Linked DNA regions of Arabidopsis thaliana. The protein of the gene in region 1 interacts with the protein of each later gene in a pairwise test. Each region holds a gene or a part of one and is shown in the gene's direction. Other genes may lie near its edges.

Region 1 (5,357 bases):
TCGCCTTATCTAACTTCATGTAGAGAGATTAAGAAAAAATTGAGGGTTAGTAGAGAATAAATAAAAAAGAATCAAAACTTAGATCTGGACACAACAGGTAAGAACCCTATGCAAGATACTTATGGAAGTATACATGGGAAGAAATAGAAGAAGATATAGATAGAGGGAAAAAAGAACCGAACTTTAGATCTGGCCACAATCGTTATTTTCTATGCAATTGAAGTATAAAGGGGAAGAAATAGAAGAAGATCGGCGATAAATAAACGAAAATGAATGGAACGTAAGACGTTCAAAATCCTCGATATCGCCGAATCTGCAGTCATGGAACGTAAGACGTTCAAAATTTGGGTTAGTATAGTATAAAAGAGAACAGATCAAAAGACAATATTTACAAACCTCAAGTGTTTTTCAAACAAAACCCACAGCGTCAGCCACAAAAGCCTCCGATATCGCCTAATCTTCTTTCGTGAATAGTAAGAGACAAAAAATGGGTTAGTTGCATGTAAGAAACACAGATAAAGGACGCAATATCTACAAACCTCGTGGGTTATTCAAACAAAGCACATCAATATTTACAAACCTCATGTGTTTTCCAAAAAAGCACAGAAGGATTCCCAAAAAAAAAACAGAGACTTTAGCCGCAAACTCTCGATGGTCGCCTAACTTTCATTCATCAACAGTACACGAAACAAAATTAGGGTTAGTTAACAACGAACCGAACTTTAGATCTAGACACAAGCGATGATTGACATGCAATTAAAGGTATAGGGGAAGAGAAATAAGAAGAGCAACTGTAAATAATCGGAAATCAGTGGTTCTACTTACCCAAATCGTCGGCGAGGGAAGACCAAAAATTAATCCTTCGATTGTCACCGGCGACTGCAACGAGAAGACGATTTGAAAAGGATAATCGGAAACACAATCAATTTCTAGAAACAACTACTACTTGGATCGAAAAGATGAGAGCAACGACGATGAAATTAATCGCCGCCGAGAGAGGTTTTTTCGGTGAGAAAAATTTTTTTTTTTTTTTTTTTTTTTAATTTTAGGGTTATTACTTTGGTCGTGAGACAAACTTGGGCCGAATAATGCAATAGAATTCAAATTTCAAACCCAGAATCATACGCTCCCCAAACAGTGTCTTGTCGCTTTGATGTCTAAGGTTATACATGTAAAATTACATGTGTTTCCGACTTACCCCTGTAGCTCATGGCTATTCTCTTAATTTTTTTTGAATCCATGGCTATTTTATGTAGATACTCATTGAAATATGGTAAAAGAAGGTACAGTAGAAATACTAATTATGTTCATGCTTGAAAGTTGAAACACACAAAAAAAACGAATAACATGTTTTTATGATTTAAATAATGAGTGATGAAAACACACATGAAGGGATTGACAAAAATACTAGTCACTAAATATCCTCATGATACAAAAAAAAAAGAAAAAAAGAAAAATAGTCACTAAATATTCACTTAACTAAAAATCCTCATGATTTGTTCACTTTGGAAAATTCAGCAAAAAAATTTAGTAAGCTTATTGAATGTAAACCAGTAATTTCTGATGAGATTAAAACTGAGTTCTAGTTAAAAGACTTTCGGATGAGGAGGTTAAATTTTCATAATTTGCATCGCATCAAAAAAAAAAAAACATTTTATCAATGGTTGAGTTTCTGCTCATAAATTTTTGGAATGTGAGTAATACAATCATATCAACTATGCTATTCATGAAGCTCTAAAAAACTAATCATGAATCTTATATTGGAAACTCAATAAACTTTTGGTGTGGGATATTTAGTTTCACACATTGTGATCTATAAAAGAGAGGAAGAGATAGATCAAGCAATGGATCTAAAAATGTATAAAACACACACTTTATTCACTACCTTGTATTCAATTAACGTCATTAAAAAGCAAAGCTTTATTCAAATTTGTGACAATACAACTATGGCAACACTACACTAAATACATAATTTCAAAGCAAATTTATAACATAAAGTTTTTCTTCTTTTTTAGGCATTAATATAATAAAGTTGAATCTGGTACCAAAAAGTTACGAAAAAGAAACGCATTAATCTCTTTTTTAAAAAGCATCTGATTAAGTGCCTGCGTCTTCTTCTTCTTTTATCCCTCCAATTCAAAATTCAGGTACGTCGACGACACCACCACCACCACCGACAGAATATTCCGATTTAACCCTCACCGAATATTCCCTCTTCCTCCATGGAAAACGACGTCAAAGAGAATCTCGAAGAAGAGGAAGACCGTCTTCTTCCTCCTCCTCCTCCTTCACAATCTCTCCCATCCACCGATTCCGAATCCGAAGCGGCTTTCGAAACAAACGAAAAGATCCTAATCGTCGATTTCGAATCACCCGACGATCCAACAACCGGAGACACACCACCGCCATTCTCATGGCGGAAGCTCTGGTTATTCACCGGTCCAGGTTTCTTAATGAGTATAGCGTTTTTGGATCCAGGGAATCTAGAAGGAGATCTACAAGCTGGTGCAATCGCTGGCTATTCTCTGTTGTGGCTACTAATGTGGGCAACAGCTATGGGGTTGTTGATTCAGATGTTGTCAGCTAGAGTCGGTGTAGCTACTGGTCGTCATTTAGCTGAGCTTTGTCGTGATGAGTATCCTACTTGGGCTAGGTATGTGCTTTGGTCTATGGCGGAACTTGCTTTGATTGGTGCTGATATTCAAGAGGTTATTGGTAGTGCTATTGCTATTCAGATTCTTAGCCGTGGCTTCTTGCCTCTTTGGGCTGGTGTTGTTATTACTGCTTCCGATTGGTGAGTCCTTTCGATACTCTATTCGTTCTTTAGAGATGTTGGATTCGTAGAATTAGTAGAGACTTGGTTTGGAGAATCTTATGATTCATTCTGAAATTTTAAAACTTTGCGGATCATCTTAGCGGTATTGAGTTTGAGTATGGATCATTCGAACTCACAAATCAGTAGAAACTTGGTTTAGAGATTCATGATTCAATCTGAAGTTGAGAATTTGCTTTTACTTTGGCTGTTTTCTTGTAAAACTTTGCTAAGATGATCCAAACTCACAAATCAGTAGAGAATTGGTTTAACGATTTGTGATCGAATCTGAAATTAAGAAACTTGCTTTTTTGTATTTTGAAAACTTGGCTAATGAATTTGTTGCAAACAGTTTTTTATTTTTGTTTCTAGAGAATTACGGTGTGAGGAAGTTAGAAGCTGTTTTTGCAGTTTTGATCGCAACTATGGGTTTGTCCTTTGCTTGGATGTTTGGTGAAACAAAACCGAGTGGGAAAGAACTTATGATAGGTAAAGATTTCAGATTTTTACTCTTGAATTTCACTTTATTTGCTTTGATTTGAGTGCTTAAAAATCAAATCTTTGTGTTTATGGATAGGTATTTTACTACCGAGACTTAGCTCAAAGACAATTAGGCAAGCTGTAGGTGTTGTTGGCTGTGTTATAATGCCTCACAATGTGTTTTTGCATTCGGCTCTTGTACAATCGAGGAAAATCGATCCGAAGAGGAAATCCCGGGTTCAAGAAGCGCTTAATTACTATTTGATCGAGTCATCCGTCGCACTTTTCATCTCCTTCATGATTAACTTGTTTGTGACTACTGTCTTTGCAAAGGGGTTTTATGGAACTGAGAAAGCTAATAACATTGGCCTAGTTAATGCTGGTCAGTATCTTCAAGAAAAGTTTGGAGGCGGGCTTCTTCCGATTCTTTATATCTGGGGTATCGGGTTGTTAGCAGCCGGACAAAGCAGTACGATAACTGGTACATATGCTGGACAGTTTATAATGGGCGGTTTTCTGAATCTCCGGCTTAAGAAATGGATGAGGGCAGTAATAACAAGAAGCTGTGCTATTGTGCCTACAATGATTGTGGCAATCGTGTTCAATACTTCTGAAGCTTCCTTGGATGTTTTGAATGAATGGCTCAATGTCCTTCAGTCTGTACAAATTCCTTTTGCTCTTCTCCCTCTTCTAACCTTGGTATCCAAAGAAGAAATTATGGGAGACTTCAAGATTGGGCCTATTCTCCAGGTAAATTTCCACTTCTTTTACTACAAGTCTCCATAGGATACCACAATAGGTGAATTAGTGTTGAGTCTTATCGTTTTAGGTGTCTCGACTTTTTTAGTTTCACTGTTTGTGCAATTATCTTAGTAAACATGTAGAATTGAAAGTCCTTCAATGGAATAGAGAAGCATGAAGAGTGAGTATTTGTAAGTTGATTGGATTTATTGATTACATTGCAGAGAATAGCTTGGACTGTGGCTGCACTTGTAATGATCATCAATGGGTATCTTCTGTTGGATTTCTTTGTATCAGAAGTCGACGGGTTTCTGTTTGGAGTTACGGTCTGCGTCTGGACGACTGCTTATATCGCCTTTATAGTGTACCTCATTTCACACAGCAACTTTTTTCCTTCTCCTTGGTCATCCTCTTCCATAGAACTTCCCAAAAGAGTGTCCGTCTCCAATAGCTAGTAGCTGCACAAAAATAACTGCCCTCAAGACCATTTGTTACATGTCAAGAAGATACAGTAAACAAACTTCATCCACTATAGTCTTATACATATTGAAACGCCAAAGTGGTGATAAGAGTTAGCTTAGCTTTTTGTGAATGTTAACATCACAAATATGTAGTGGCAAAGTCTTTGTTGTACTTTTTTGTTTTTGTTAAGAGGATGTGCACATTCCAATATGATTTAAAGAGGCTTTTACATCATAGAAAAAAGCAGAAAACAAATCAATAAAAATCTAATAAACCATTGAAAAAATGGTCAAGCAAAAAAAAAAAAGTTTCTTAACTAGTGTTAGCAAAAATCATTGAACATACGCTAAAAGAGATAATACTCAATACTAATCTGCCATTCTAACAGATATATACAACCCAAAATTCAGGTAACTAACACTTCCAATACATAAGCTTCAAGCTTCTTTTACGCCATTCCTCTAATGGTAATATCTTCAAAGAAAGCAAGAGGTAGCTCCGGTGAAACAGGCATGGTCGCAACGCACTTGTACTGTACCAAGAGAATCAGATATTAGAATGTTCTTGTTGCAATATATCACAAGTTTAAAGTTACATCATTGAATTGTTGAATTTACCTTGTGTTGCTTGTACTTATTTCTAACAGCTTCTAGAGTGTTTCCTCTTCTGCTTAGATACAAGTCATGTATGATACCCACGCACACTTGTAGATCAGCTGCTTTGTACTTTGTGTATTCTTCTAGCATTTGATTCTGTTTGCATCACCAGAAGAGGATTTAGAATATAAAGAACTTTTTCTGTATAAGAACCTGTCATGGTTCTTAATTTGCTTACCCAAGGATGTTGTTTTGGACGGATGATG
Region 2 (6,706 bases), 4.9 Mb from region 1:
CTGTGTTTACTACAAGTGGTGGAGGTTGTGTTAGTGAACATAAAGTAATGACTGAGCTTTCACAAGAGGCGTGTATGGTTATGGAATTTGCTCGGTTGGTTGGAGAAATCAAAAACAGAGGAGCTAAACCGGATGGGTTTTGGATGAGGTTTAGCCGGAATACGCAGTTGCTTGTTGATGCTGTGAAAGAGTCGATTGATAATAACCTTGAACCGGTGTTTCTCTCCGGCCGGTGAGAAAGAGCTCAGAAGTTAGATCAGATTTGTTTGTGTCGATGCTTTTAGTAGATGTAGTAATTAGGGGTTTATGTATGATATCTTCTCGGCGTCCGTTGGTGGAGAGGTCAATTAAAGATCTCCTTGGCGCATGGCTGCAAGCATTTCATCAATACATTTCATCCATCACCAAGAAATTCTAGGGATATATACTGCATAGAGCTTCAAAGACTTGGTGCAGTGTCACTCACGAGTTTTGCTGTGTTTAATGTGGCACCGGGGTTTGCTTGTAAATCTATACCTCCAGCTTTAATAGCAGAGGTAGTGACTATGGCTGGTAAACTTTGGCATTATGTGACTTCTTTCTCCGATGTGACATCTTCAGGTGTCCAAACAAAAATCTCTGCTCATAAGACAATATAAGTTCATCGACAATACTAGCTACTGTTTTGTTGAATTCACAATCTCTGCACCTTTCTTATATAGCAGCCACCTTGGATTAATTTTGTTTTTGTTTTCCTTTTTCCTATGGTTTATGATTCAGAAGTTTAGATTATACGTTTATTTACAAGAATCCAGAGAATGAGTACATAATTGACCAAAAATAAAAGTTCAAATTATTTTGATGTAGAATTATAAATTAGTATTTGTAACTATGTTTTTTTTTAGTTTTTTGAATTTTTAAAGAAGAAAAAACACACATGTCAATATTTGTTCGACAAATATTGGTATGTGTTGTGTTCACGTGAGTTAACAATTTTGAAAACTTATCTACATATACATTTTTGCAGCCATTTATGTATACTTATTTACATTGGTTGCCATTGGCTTTTAATTATTGGGTTTTTTTTTTTGGTAATAAATTGATTAACAAACGAAAAACATTCGAAATATATTTCAATCCTATATATCACGCAGATTTCTCCAAAATTTAAACTAGATTTTGGCAACTATTTAAAACAAAAAATGTTTGACAAACTAAAATACAATTGCAATCCCTTAAAATGAGCAAAACGCACCTAAATACATTTTTTACAATTCACTAAATCTTATTTCTCCAAAATTTGAACTAGATTTCGGCAACTATTTAAAACAAAAATTTGTTTGACAAACTAAAATACAATTGCAATCCCGTAAAATATTTATTTAAATTAGCGGTGTACTACAGGTTTTTTTACGGAACGGGTTTGGCAAGACGGGTTTGGAAGAACTTTACTTAATAACAATTGTAAACTATAAAATAAAAATGTTTTATAGATAGATATAATTTGCAAACTTTTATATATATTAATTTTAAAAAATAATTTGTCTCCGCAGTATACTGCGGGTTAAAATCTAGTTATAATATATATCCGTAAAGAACAATAACACAGTATGAATTTTTTTTGTAAGTTATTCGATTAAAAATTAAAAGAAGCAAATTAAATTAAATAATGAGCTACCAAAACAAATAAACAAAAATTACTTTTTTGTCTATAAACATGGAGTTTTGCCAAGAAATTGTAAATAAAGTTTCTATTCCTTTTTTGTAAACAAAAGTTGTGTATCTAATTTTCTCTTTTCCATAAGTTGTGAATTGTGATAATAATTTACAAGTTGACAAAGAAAGAAAAGATTTAAAACAAAAAAAATGTGATTGTACTTAAGATTTCAAAGGTAGCGTTTTGTTGTTTCTCTCTTCCTCTCTCTCTCCACTGGTACCAATCACGCTCCATTAAGAATTTAAGAGAGAGAGAGACTAAACTTGAGCCCATCACTTTTGTAGTGACTAGTGAGTAGAGTAGGCTTTTAGAGAGAGAGAGAGAGAGACGGCTGTTGAAAGATAACCACAGAACACAAAAACTCATTCATTAAGAATGAGAAAGAAAGTCCCAAAAACCTTTTTTGCTCTGAAAAAGCAACGCAAAGTTTTGAAAAATCTCACACCTTTTTCACTTCTCTGTTTGTAGCTGTTACCACTTGTGTTTCCCCTTTGGCATTTTTCTCGGTTGTCATTAATGAGAGTAAAATCATCATCAAGTGTAAACTTCTCTCTCTCTTTCTCTATCTCTATCTCAAAGCTCTCAACTTTGGAGAGATCATGGTTTGTGTTTGATTTCTCAAGTTTTTTTTTTTTTACCCTCTTGGAGGATCTGGGAGGAGAAATTTGCTTTTTTTTGGTAAATGGGGAGAAAAAAGTTTGAAGCTTTTGGTTTTGTCTGCTTAATCTCACTGCTTCTTCTGTTTAATTCGTTATGGCTTGCCTCTTCTAACATGGAAGGTTTGTTACTCTTCTCTTATCTTTCTTTATTATTTATGTGACTACTTTTGCCTGTTTTAGTTGGTACATGAGAATTGAAATTTCCATCTGGCACTGTCTCTGTTCTTCAAAAAGGACTTTTTAAGAATCTGATTCTGTTTGAAAGCTTCAATTTCTATAGAGAATTTTGTTCATAATCTATGGTTAGGCTCCTTTAGAAAAATCACAATTGATTTACTGTTTGATTCAATGCTATTTCTCTGATAACGACATGTAAAAGAAACTGTATTTATGTCACTAGCAAACACATTAAGAATGAGGAACTGAAGAAGTATTCAATGCAAACTGTTTGGTTGTTTCATGTTTGATTTGTTTGGTAAGTATTTCCTCTTTGCGAAAGGCTTAGGCTTTTGTTTGGTATATTAACAGGTGATGCACTGCACAGTTTGAGAGCTAATCTAGTTGATCCAAATAATGTCTTGCAAAGCTGGGATCCTACGCTTGTTAATCCGTGTACTTGGTTTCACGTAACGTGTAACAACGAGAACAGTGTTATAAGAGTGTGAGTGTCTCTCTGCTTATACCTGACCTGACCAATGTTCTTTGTTTAGCTTATTTAATCTCTGTTTGTTGTTGCTTCTTCAGCGATCTTGGGAATGCAGACTTGTCTGGTCAGTTGGTTCCTCAGCTAGGTCAGCTCAAGAACTTGCAGTACTTGTAAGTTTTTGCTTTGATATCTAAATGGAAGATGAATCGTTACTCTGTAGATAAACGAAAAGTTGATGGCATTGACTATGTGTAGCATAACTACTTTATTTCTAGAGACTTGTAGTTTCTCATACATGATATAGGCGAATATGGCGATTACACTGAATCTTGTTTTTTCATTTTATTAGGACTTATTCAATACCCATTTGTCATTGTACATTGTTAATTTTCTTCTGAGGGTGTGATACTCTTAATGGCAGGGAGCTTTATAGTAATAACATAACCGGGCCGGTTCCAAGCGATCTTGGGAATCTGACAAACTTAGTGAGCTTGGATCTTTACTTGAACAGCTTCACTGGTCCAATTCCAGATTCTCTAGGAAAGCTATTCAAGCTTCGCTTTCTGTAAGAACACTTAGTCTGCTCTTCTCATCATGCACTGGCTAAATGTTTTGCTATATTAGAAATTTACTGAGGATTAAATTCTCTTTTGGCTAAATGTTATTACTTGTTGGACATTTGAATAGAAGTAAAAGAAATTGGCTTTGTCTTTCAAAACACTGAATAAACTTGTTTGATTGAACTCTGGTATGGGAAGATGGTAATGTGGTCTGAGTTTTTGTTGCAAGGATAGTCGGCTCAACAATAACAGTCTCACCGGACCAATTCCCATGTCATTGACTAATATCATGACCCTTCAAGTTTTGTGAGTATTACTTTTCAATTTTACTTTCTGCTCTTCTGAACTTCTCACTCTTAATGGATCACCTGAGTTTTCCTTATTATCTTGCAAACTGCAGGGATCTGTCGAACAACCGATTATCCGGATCTGTTCCTGATAATGGTTCCTTCTCGCTCTTCACTCCCATCAGGTTTGATTGAATCCATACTATGCAAACATTAGTTACTCGCATTATGGGAACTGAGGCTATAAGTTAAGATTAAGCACAAGTGGCAATAAAATTTAAAGTCTGAACCTAAGTTTCTTTTGATCATCTTAACTCTTAAGTAAATTTACTCAATAGACATACTACATTTTCCAAATTCTATTACTTTAATTGGTGGATATGGAAATTATCAGCAGTTGACCATTGTTCTTCTGCACAGTTTTGCTAACAACTTGGATCTATGCGGCCCAGTTACTAGCCGTCCTTGTCCTGGATCTCCCCCGTTTTCTCCTCCACCACCTTTTATACCACCTCCCATAGTTCCTACACCAGGTAATGAAATGAAGCAGACAGTAAAATTTAGATCTTTTACCTTCACTCATGCTTGGAAAAACATATTGGATGGTTGTTATAGAGTTTTTTACTGGATTTTGACTGGAAAAAAGTCTATCTCACAGTTTAAGAAGCTTGTGATCAACTTCACTGGTAGTTAACTATTTTGGTAAAAATAAAATTTAAGGTGGGTATAGTGCTACTGGAGCCATTGCGGGAGGAGTTGCTGCTGGTGCTGCTTTACTATTTGCTGCCCCTGCTTTAGCTTTTGCTTGGTGGCGTAGAAGAAAACCTCAAGAATTCTTCTTTGATGTTCCTGGTAAGTCACTGAGTCTGCAATATCCAAGCTTTGTTTCATTTCAGAATTGGATTAGTATTTAGTACTTAATTTTTCAGTTCTGTGATGCAGCCGAAGAGGACCCTGAGGTTCACTTGGGGCAGCTTAAGCGGTTCTCTCTACGGGAACTTCAAGTAGCAACTGATAGCTTCAGCAACAAGAACATTTTGGGCCGAGGTGGGTTCGGAAAAGTCTACAAAGGCCGTCTTGCTGATGGAACACTTGTTGCAGTCAAACGGCTTAAAGAAGAGCGAACCCCAGGTGGCGAGCTCCAGTTTCAGACAGAAGTGGAGATGATAAGCATGGCCGTTCACAGAAATCTCCTCAGGCTACGCGGTTTCTGTATGACCCCTACCGAGAGATTGCTTGTTTATCCTTACATGGCTAATGGAAGTGTCGCTTCCTGTTTGAGAGGTAACCTTGGAATTTTAACTGTTTGTATCATAAAGTAGAAAGACTCCCACAATGATGTATAAGTGTTGTTTTTGATCTTATCCATTTTTAAAACTTTCCAATACAATTGAGTGAGCTTTCTTGAAATGATTACAGAACGTCCACCATCACAGTTGCCTCTAGCCTGGTCAATAAGACAGCAAATCGCGCTAGGATCAGCGAGGGGTTTGTCTTATCTTCATGATCATTGCGACCCCAAAATTATTCACCGTGATGTGAAAGCTGCTAATATTCTGTTGGACGAGGAATTTGAGGCGGTGGTAGGTGATTTCGGGTTAGCTAGACTTATGGACTATAAAGATACTCATGTCACAACGGCTGTGCGTGGGACTATTGGACACATTGCTCCTGAGTATCTCTCAACTGGAAAATCTTCAGAGAAAACTGATGTTTTTGGCTACGGGATCATGCTTTTGGAACTGATTACAGGTCAGAGAGCTTTTGATCTTGCAAGACTGGCGAATGACGATGACGTTATGCTCCTAGATTGGGTATAACACAGATCTTTTAGCACATATCTGGCTATCTCTCAAAAAGCTGATTTATCTGTTCATTTGGTCTTCTCAGGTGAAAGGGCTTTTGAAGGAGAAGAAGCTGGAGATGCTTGTGGATCCTGACCTGCAAAGCAATTACACAGAAGCAGAAGTAGAACAGCTCATACAAGTGGCTCTTCTCTGCACACAGAGCTCACCTATGGAACGACCTAAGATGTCTGAGGTTGTTCGAATGCTTGAAGGTGACGGTTTAGCGGAGAAATGGGACGAGTGGCAGAAAGTGGAAGTTCTCAGGCAAGAAGTGGAGCTCTCTTCTCACCCCACCTCTGACTGGATCCTTGATTCGACTGATAATCTTCATGCTATGGAGTTGTCTGGTCCAAGATAAACGACATTGTAATTTGCCTAACAGAAAAGAGAAAGAACAGAGAAATATTAAGAGAATCACTTCTCTGTATTCTTTATTTCTTTGGTAGAAAAATAATGTAGTCTCTAATCAAATCTTATTCCATCTATCAGCATTCTTCATTCATTTCTTGTGAAAACCAAGGCCTTTAAATTAAACATAATCACAAACACCAAGTTCTATACATTACATATGTCTTCCACTGGATAAAGAGGAAGAAAAGGCTATTCCAAAAAACATTTTGAGCTCTTTGTTCCGCAAGAGAAGGAACAGCACAAGTGAAACACACTGAAAAACACCAAGCTTGCATTATAACATATGCAGGTAAGAATCACGAATCATGGGCGGGTCTTGTATTGTCTGAGAACGAATGAGAGCCAGATGAGGGATCATGCTTCTGCGATGTGAAGAGATTAGGGTATGAGTAATAGGGATCATCTTCCATTGAAGGCAGTCTCATTTGCTGATGGTCCTGGTCAGGGCTGAGTCTGTCAAGTGGTGAAGTCTCTGGCCTTTGGAGCTCTGGCAGATCGCCATAGCTGCTGACTGATGAGTTCTGATGATCAAACTGCGGTTTCTCCATTGACGGGAATCTATGTGGTGTAAGATCGTCATAGTTGCTGCCTGATGAGTTC
Region 3 (4,231 bases), on another chromosome or scaffold:
GGACCTTAATTCCAGATCTAATGCCGATATAAAAAAACTCGACCTATAATAAATCAGGAAGGTAAAAACTGGGTTAGTTCTTAGGAGAACCCTAATCAAAAACCCTTAATAAATTTCGATTTAGCGCAGCAATGACTCGACACGCTTCCATTAAGCATTTGTGGAAGGCGATCTTAAGGGCTGCGCAACGATTTAAAAAAAAAACGATAAATACGAATAACACGATTTAGAACATAAGCCCTAATATCTAAGAATTGGGGGTTATAATCGAAGATGCATTGTATATATAGTGAAGACTTGTTTTACCCTAGTCGAAGAAGCTTATCCTCGTTTATTGACTATTGGGCTTTAAGCCCATGTTATTTTAAGCCTTATAGGCAAAACAAGACAGAAAACAAAAAGACCAGAATCGCCTTATTCATCAAGTTTTTTTCTTCTTACTTAAACCGAACCGAACCGAACCGAATTGGATTGAGCCATGCCGACACGGAGTTCTGCTCTATAACTTTAATTCGGCACGCAGTCTAAATACAGAGACACTATATGACAAACTCCTCCATCGCCGGTGGTCTGCACAGGGGAGGGGAAACAGCGATTCGAAAATGTCAGGTCGTGAAAGTTACCGTCTTCAGCACCGAGATCCATCTCAGACTTCATATTTTGATGTATTACCAACCTTGTTCATTAATCATAATTGGACATTGTTTCCTTCTATGATGTCGTTTTACATTTCACTCATTGTACTCTTTTCTTTGTATCTTGTTGCTAAAACAGACAACTTCTTAGCAAAATCTATCCTGAAAGAAGTTATTGTCCGTCAAGGTCTGATGTAACTCTCAAGCGATATGTACTGAATTCATGAAGTAATGGAATGTGGGAGTGTACTTTTCACTGAGGTACTCGAGAACTATCATAGATGGCTATACTTGCCATTAGAGTAGTGGCTTCTCAGCTTCTCTTGTTTTCATTCAGGTTTCTGACTCATATAAACCCGATTTCCCGCAACTTGATGCTCAGACAGAGCGTTAGTCTTTTGGAGAGCTTGCAATCATGCTGGAAAGAAGATGTTCTCGTTTTCTCTGCTGCTGGCAAATTTCTTCGCTTGACATTGCAGCTTCGTTCGAGGTTTGTGAAATTTGACTTTAATATTATCATCAATATTGATAGACATATATCTAGTGAAGATAACGTGAAAACTTGCTTGTTTTACCTTAATCGAAGAAGCTTTTTCACGTTTATGGACTTTAGGCCCATATCTTACGACATAATCACTTTGGAATTTTGGATACTTAACCATTTTATGTTAGGCTCGTAACTGACGACATAATCAATTTGGATACTTAACGTACCCAAATTGGGTTTTGAGATATCATTTGTTTCACCTTCTTTTTCTTGTGGAGGAAGTCAAAATAATATGTAACAGTAATGCGGTTTGATGCAAACAGAAATTTAAAAAAGGAAAACGAACAAAACAAATTTGACGAGAAATTGTAAACAAAAACATATTACAGAAACAAGAAATCTGTCACGATCTCAGAATATGTAAAGATAAGATAATAAACTGATTTCAGTTAGTCTTGTCATTATTACCAAATTCCTATAAGGATATTTGCGTTATATCCTTTAGTATAAATGATTTATTTTCTTAACTAATGAAACACAGAATCAAAACGTTTATAGAAACATAAATCTCATTCATCTTCCACACCTCGTCTTTAAGAGACGAGTCCGTTTCTTTTCATCTCCTCTATCACGATTCACCATCACCAAAACACAACCTCTTAAGATAACGTGAAGAAACTATGAGTGACATCCAAGCAAAAGAAGATGCGGCGCCTGTTGATAGACAGTCTTCTTCGTCGGTTGTGGTTCCTGATGAGCCGTCACCTCTAAGAAAGATGATATCAGTGGCTTCTATCGCAGCCGGTATACAGTTTGGTTGGGCTCTTCAGCTTTCTCTCCTAACCCCATACGTTCAGCTTCTCGGAGTCCCACACAAATGGTCATCTTTCATATGGCTATGTGGTCCTATCTCCGGTCTGCTCGTCCAGCCAACCGTCGGTTACTTCAGCGACCGATGCAAGTCAAGATTCGGTCGTCGTCGACCTTTCATCGCCACTGGTGCCTTGCTTGTTGCCCTTGCTGTTATACTAATTGGATTTGCGGCTGACTTCGGCCACACCATGGGAGATAAACTCGACGAAGCTGTCAAGATAAGAGCCGTTGGTTTCTTCGTTGTCGGTTTCTGGATCCTTGACGTGGCTAACAACACTCTTCAAGGACCTTGCCGTGCTTTTCTTGGTGATTTAGCAGCCGGAGATGCTAAGAAAACTCGAACTGCCAACGCGATTTTCTCTTTCTTCATGGCCGTTGGAAACGTTTTGGGATACGCTGCGGGATCGTACACTAACCTCCACAAGATTTTCCCTTTCACAGTGACTAAAGCATGCGACATCTATTGTGCAAATCTCAAGAGCTGTTTCATTATTTCCATCACTCTCCTCATAGTCCTCACAATCATAGCTCTTTGGTACGTGGAAGACAAGCAATGGTCGCCTAATGCAGATTCCGACAATGAGAAAACTCCCTTCTTTGGCGAGATCTTTGGAGCTTTCAAGGTGATGAAACGTCCAATGTGGATGCTTCTAGCCGTCACGGCCTTGAACTGGATCGCATGGTTTCCTTTTCTTTTATACGATACCGATTGGATGGGTCGTGAAGTGTATGGTGGAGACTCAGCAGGAGATGACAAAATGAAGAAACTATACAACCACGGAATCCAAGTTGGTTCGTTGGGGTTGATGCTTAACTCTATCGTTCTTGGAGTCATGTCCCTTGTTATTGGAGTGATTAGTAAGAAAATTGGAGCTAAAAGGCTTTGGGGAGCTGTGAACATAATCCTCGCGGTGTGTTTGGCAATGACAGTTTTGGTTACTAAAAAGGCTGAGGAGCACCGGAAGATCGCTGGTCGGATGGCCCTTCCTACCAATGCCATCAGAGATGGAGCATTGAGTCTCTTTGCTATTCTTGGAATTCCTCTTGCTGTAAGTCCACCATGTCTTTTACCAATTTTTGTTACTATTATCCATGAATTATTATTTTGTTTAACAATATTAATCCATTTTTTGCTATATTTTATAGATTACATTTAGTATTCCATTTGCATTAGCTTCCATTATTTCAAGCAGTTCCGGTGCCGGTCAAGGTATTTAATTTTAACCTCTCCTTTTGTTTCTAATTTGAACCTACATTCTCATAGTAATGCTAATTAAAATGTGTGAACACAAAAAACGGTAATGGAGAGATCAGTTTCCAATTATAAGAAAAACGATCGAGTATATATTTTCACATAGGGTGATGTATGTTATGTACTAATTTATTGGTTAATTGATATTTTTATACAATCTGTTTACATCTTCAATTATTAGTTGGTTTTCATTCACCATATAAAATTTGTCATAAATGTATCAATAAGATACATAATCGTTCTGTTTAAGATTATTATTAAAGCGTTTATCAGATTAATAAGGATAGTGATAACATTTTTTGTCATTTTTTCAGGACTCTCTCTAGGAGTTTTAAACATGGCAATAGTGATACCACAAATGATTGTATCGTTTGGAGTTGGTCCAATTGATGCGTTATTTGGAGGTGGAAACTTACCTGGATTTGTGGTTGGAGCTATAGCAGCTCTAATCAGCAGTGTTGTGGCACTTACCGTTTTACCTTAATTTTTTTTTTTTTTTTATTGTTATGTGCTTCTTTTTTATTGTTATGTATCCACATGTTTAATATTAATGTAGCATGTGGCATATTTATTTACATTATTTAATTAAAGTTTTAATTTTAAAAAGTTCTTCTTGTTTTTGTTTAACTTCTATATCTATGTCAACATCAATCTGCGTAAATTAAAGTATTTTAAACTTCTAGGTAAATAACAAAAAAAAAAATTAATATTATGCATAGGAATTGTAAATCTAACATTTTTACCTTTATATGACAATTCATTCATGATACATTTTATTTTGTAGAAACAATGAAATATTCAAAAAAACATAATACACTTTAAAAAAGTATAAAATAAAATAAAATGAAATCAAAGACCAAAAAAATAAATTTAGTCTAAACAAAGACGACGGGGCAGGTGGGAAGACTCGAGTAGACACATGGATGAGTGTGGTAGCAAAAAGCTTACCGGCCGCGGTTTAGCGAAGAAAGAAATGAAGGCCTA

What was found.
Region 2: the proteins of NRAMP2 (region 1) and SERK2 interact in a protein complementation assay, tested with the Arabidopsis thaliana proteins (one large-scale study listed by BioGRID).
Region 3: the proteins of NRAMP2 (region 1) and SUC9 interact in a protein complementation assay, tested with the Arabidopsis thaliana proteins (one large-scale study listed by BioGRID).

Annotation. Positions count from the first base shown.
Region 1 is NC_003070.9:17,308,174-17,313,530, reverse strand, and holds NRAMP2 (NRAMP metal ion transporter 2), read left to right. Parts: upstream 1-2,025; 5' UTR 2,026-2,222; coding exon 2,223-2,794; intron 2,795-3,164; coding exon 3,165-3,301; intron 3,302-3,389; coding exon 3,390-4,042; intron 4,043-4,257; coding exon 4,258-4,488; 3' UTR 4,489-4,728; downstream 4,729-5,357. Other genes in the region: CYCA3;4 (CYCLIN A3;4), read right to left, coding at 4,944-5,027, 5,113-5,247, 5,330-5,357. UniProt on the Arabidopsis thaliana protein: Seems to be involved in iron uptake.
Region 2 is NC_003070.9:12,456,700-12,463,405, forward strand, and holds SERK2 (somatic embryogenesis receptor-like kinase 2), read left to right. Parts: upstream 1-1,864; 5' UTR 1,865-2,378; coding exon 2,379-2,475; intron 2,476-2,883; coding exon 2,884-3,016; intron 3,017-3,099; coding exon 3,100-3,171; intron 3,172-3,422; coding exon 3,423-3,566; intron 3,567-3,795; coding exon 3,796-3,867; intron 3,868-3,961; coding exon 3,962-4,033; intron 4,034-4,268; coding exon 4,269-4,381; intron 4,382-4,568; coding exon 4,569-4,700; intron 4,701-4,790; coding exon 4,791-5,132; intron 5,133-5,267; coding exon 5,268-5,662; intron 5,663-5,738; coding exon 5,739-6,053; 3' UTR 6,054-6,206; downstream 6,207-6,706. Other genes in the region: AT1G34200 (Glyceraldehyde-3-phosphate dehydrogenase-like family protein), read left to right, coding at 1-236; AT1G34220 (Regulator of Vps4 activity in the MVB pathway protein), read right to left, coding at 6,403-6,706. UniProt on the Arabidopsis thaliana protein: Serine/threonine-kinase involved in brassinosteroid-dependent and -independent signaling pathways. Acts redundantly with SERK1 as a control point for sporophytic development controlling male gametophyte production. Serves as coreceptor to small peptide (e.g.
Region 3 is NC_003076.8:1,867,989-1,872,219, forward strand, and holds SUC9 (sucrose-proton symporter 9), read left to right. Parts: upstream 1-1,802; coding exon 1,803-3,044; intron 3,045-3,141; coding exon 3,142-3,205; intron 3,206-3,561; coding exon 3,562-3,731; downstream 3,732-4,231. UniProt on the Arabidopsis thaliana protein: High-affinity sucrose transporter. Responsible for the transport of sucrose into the cell, with the concomitant uptake of protons (symport system).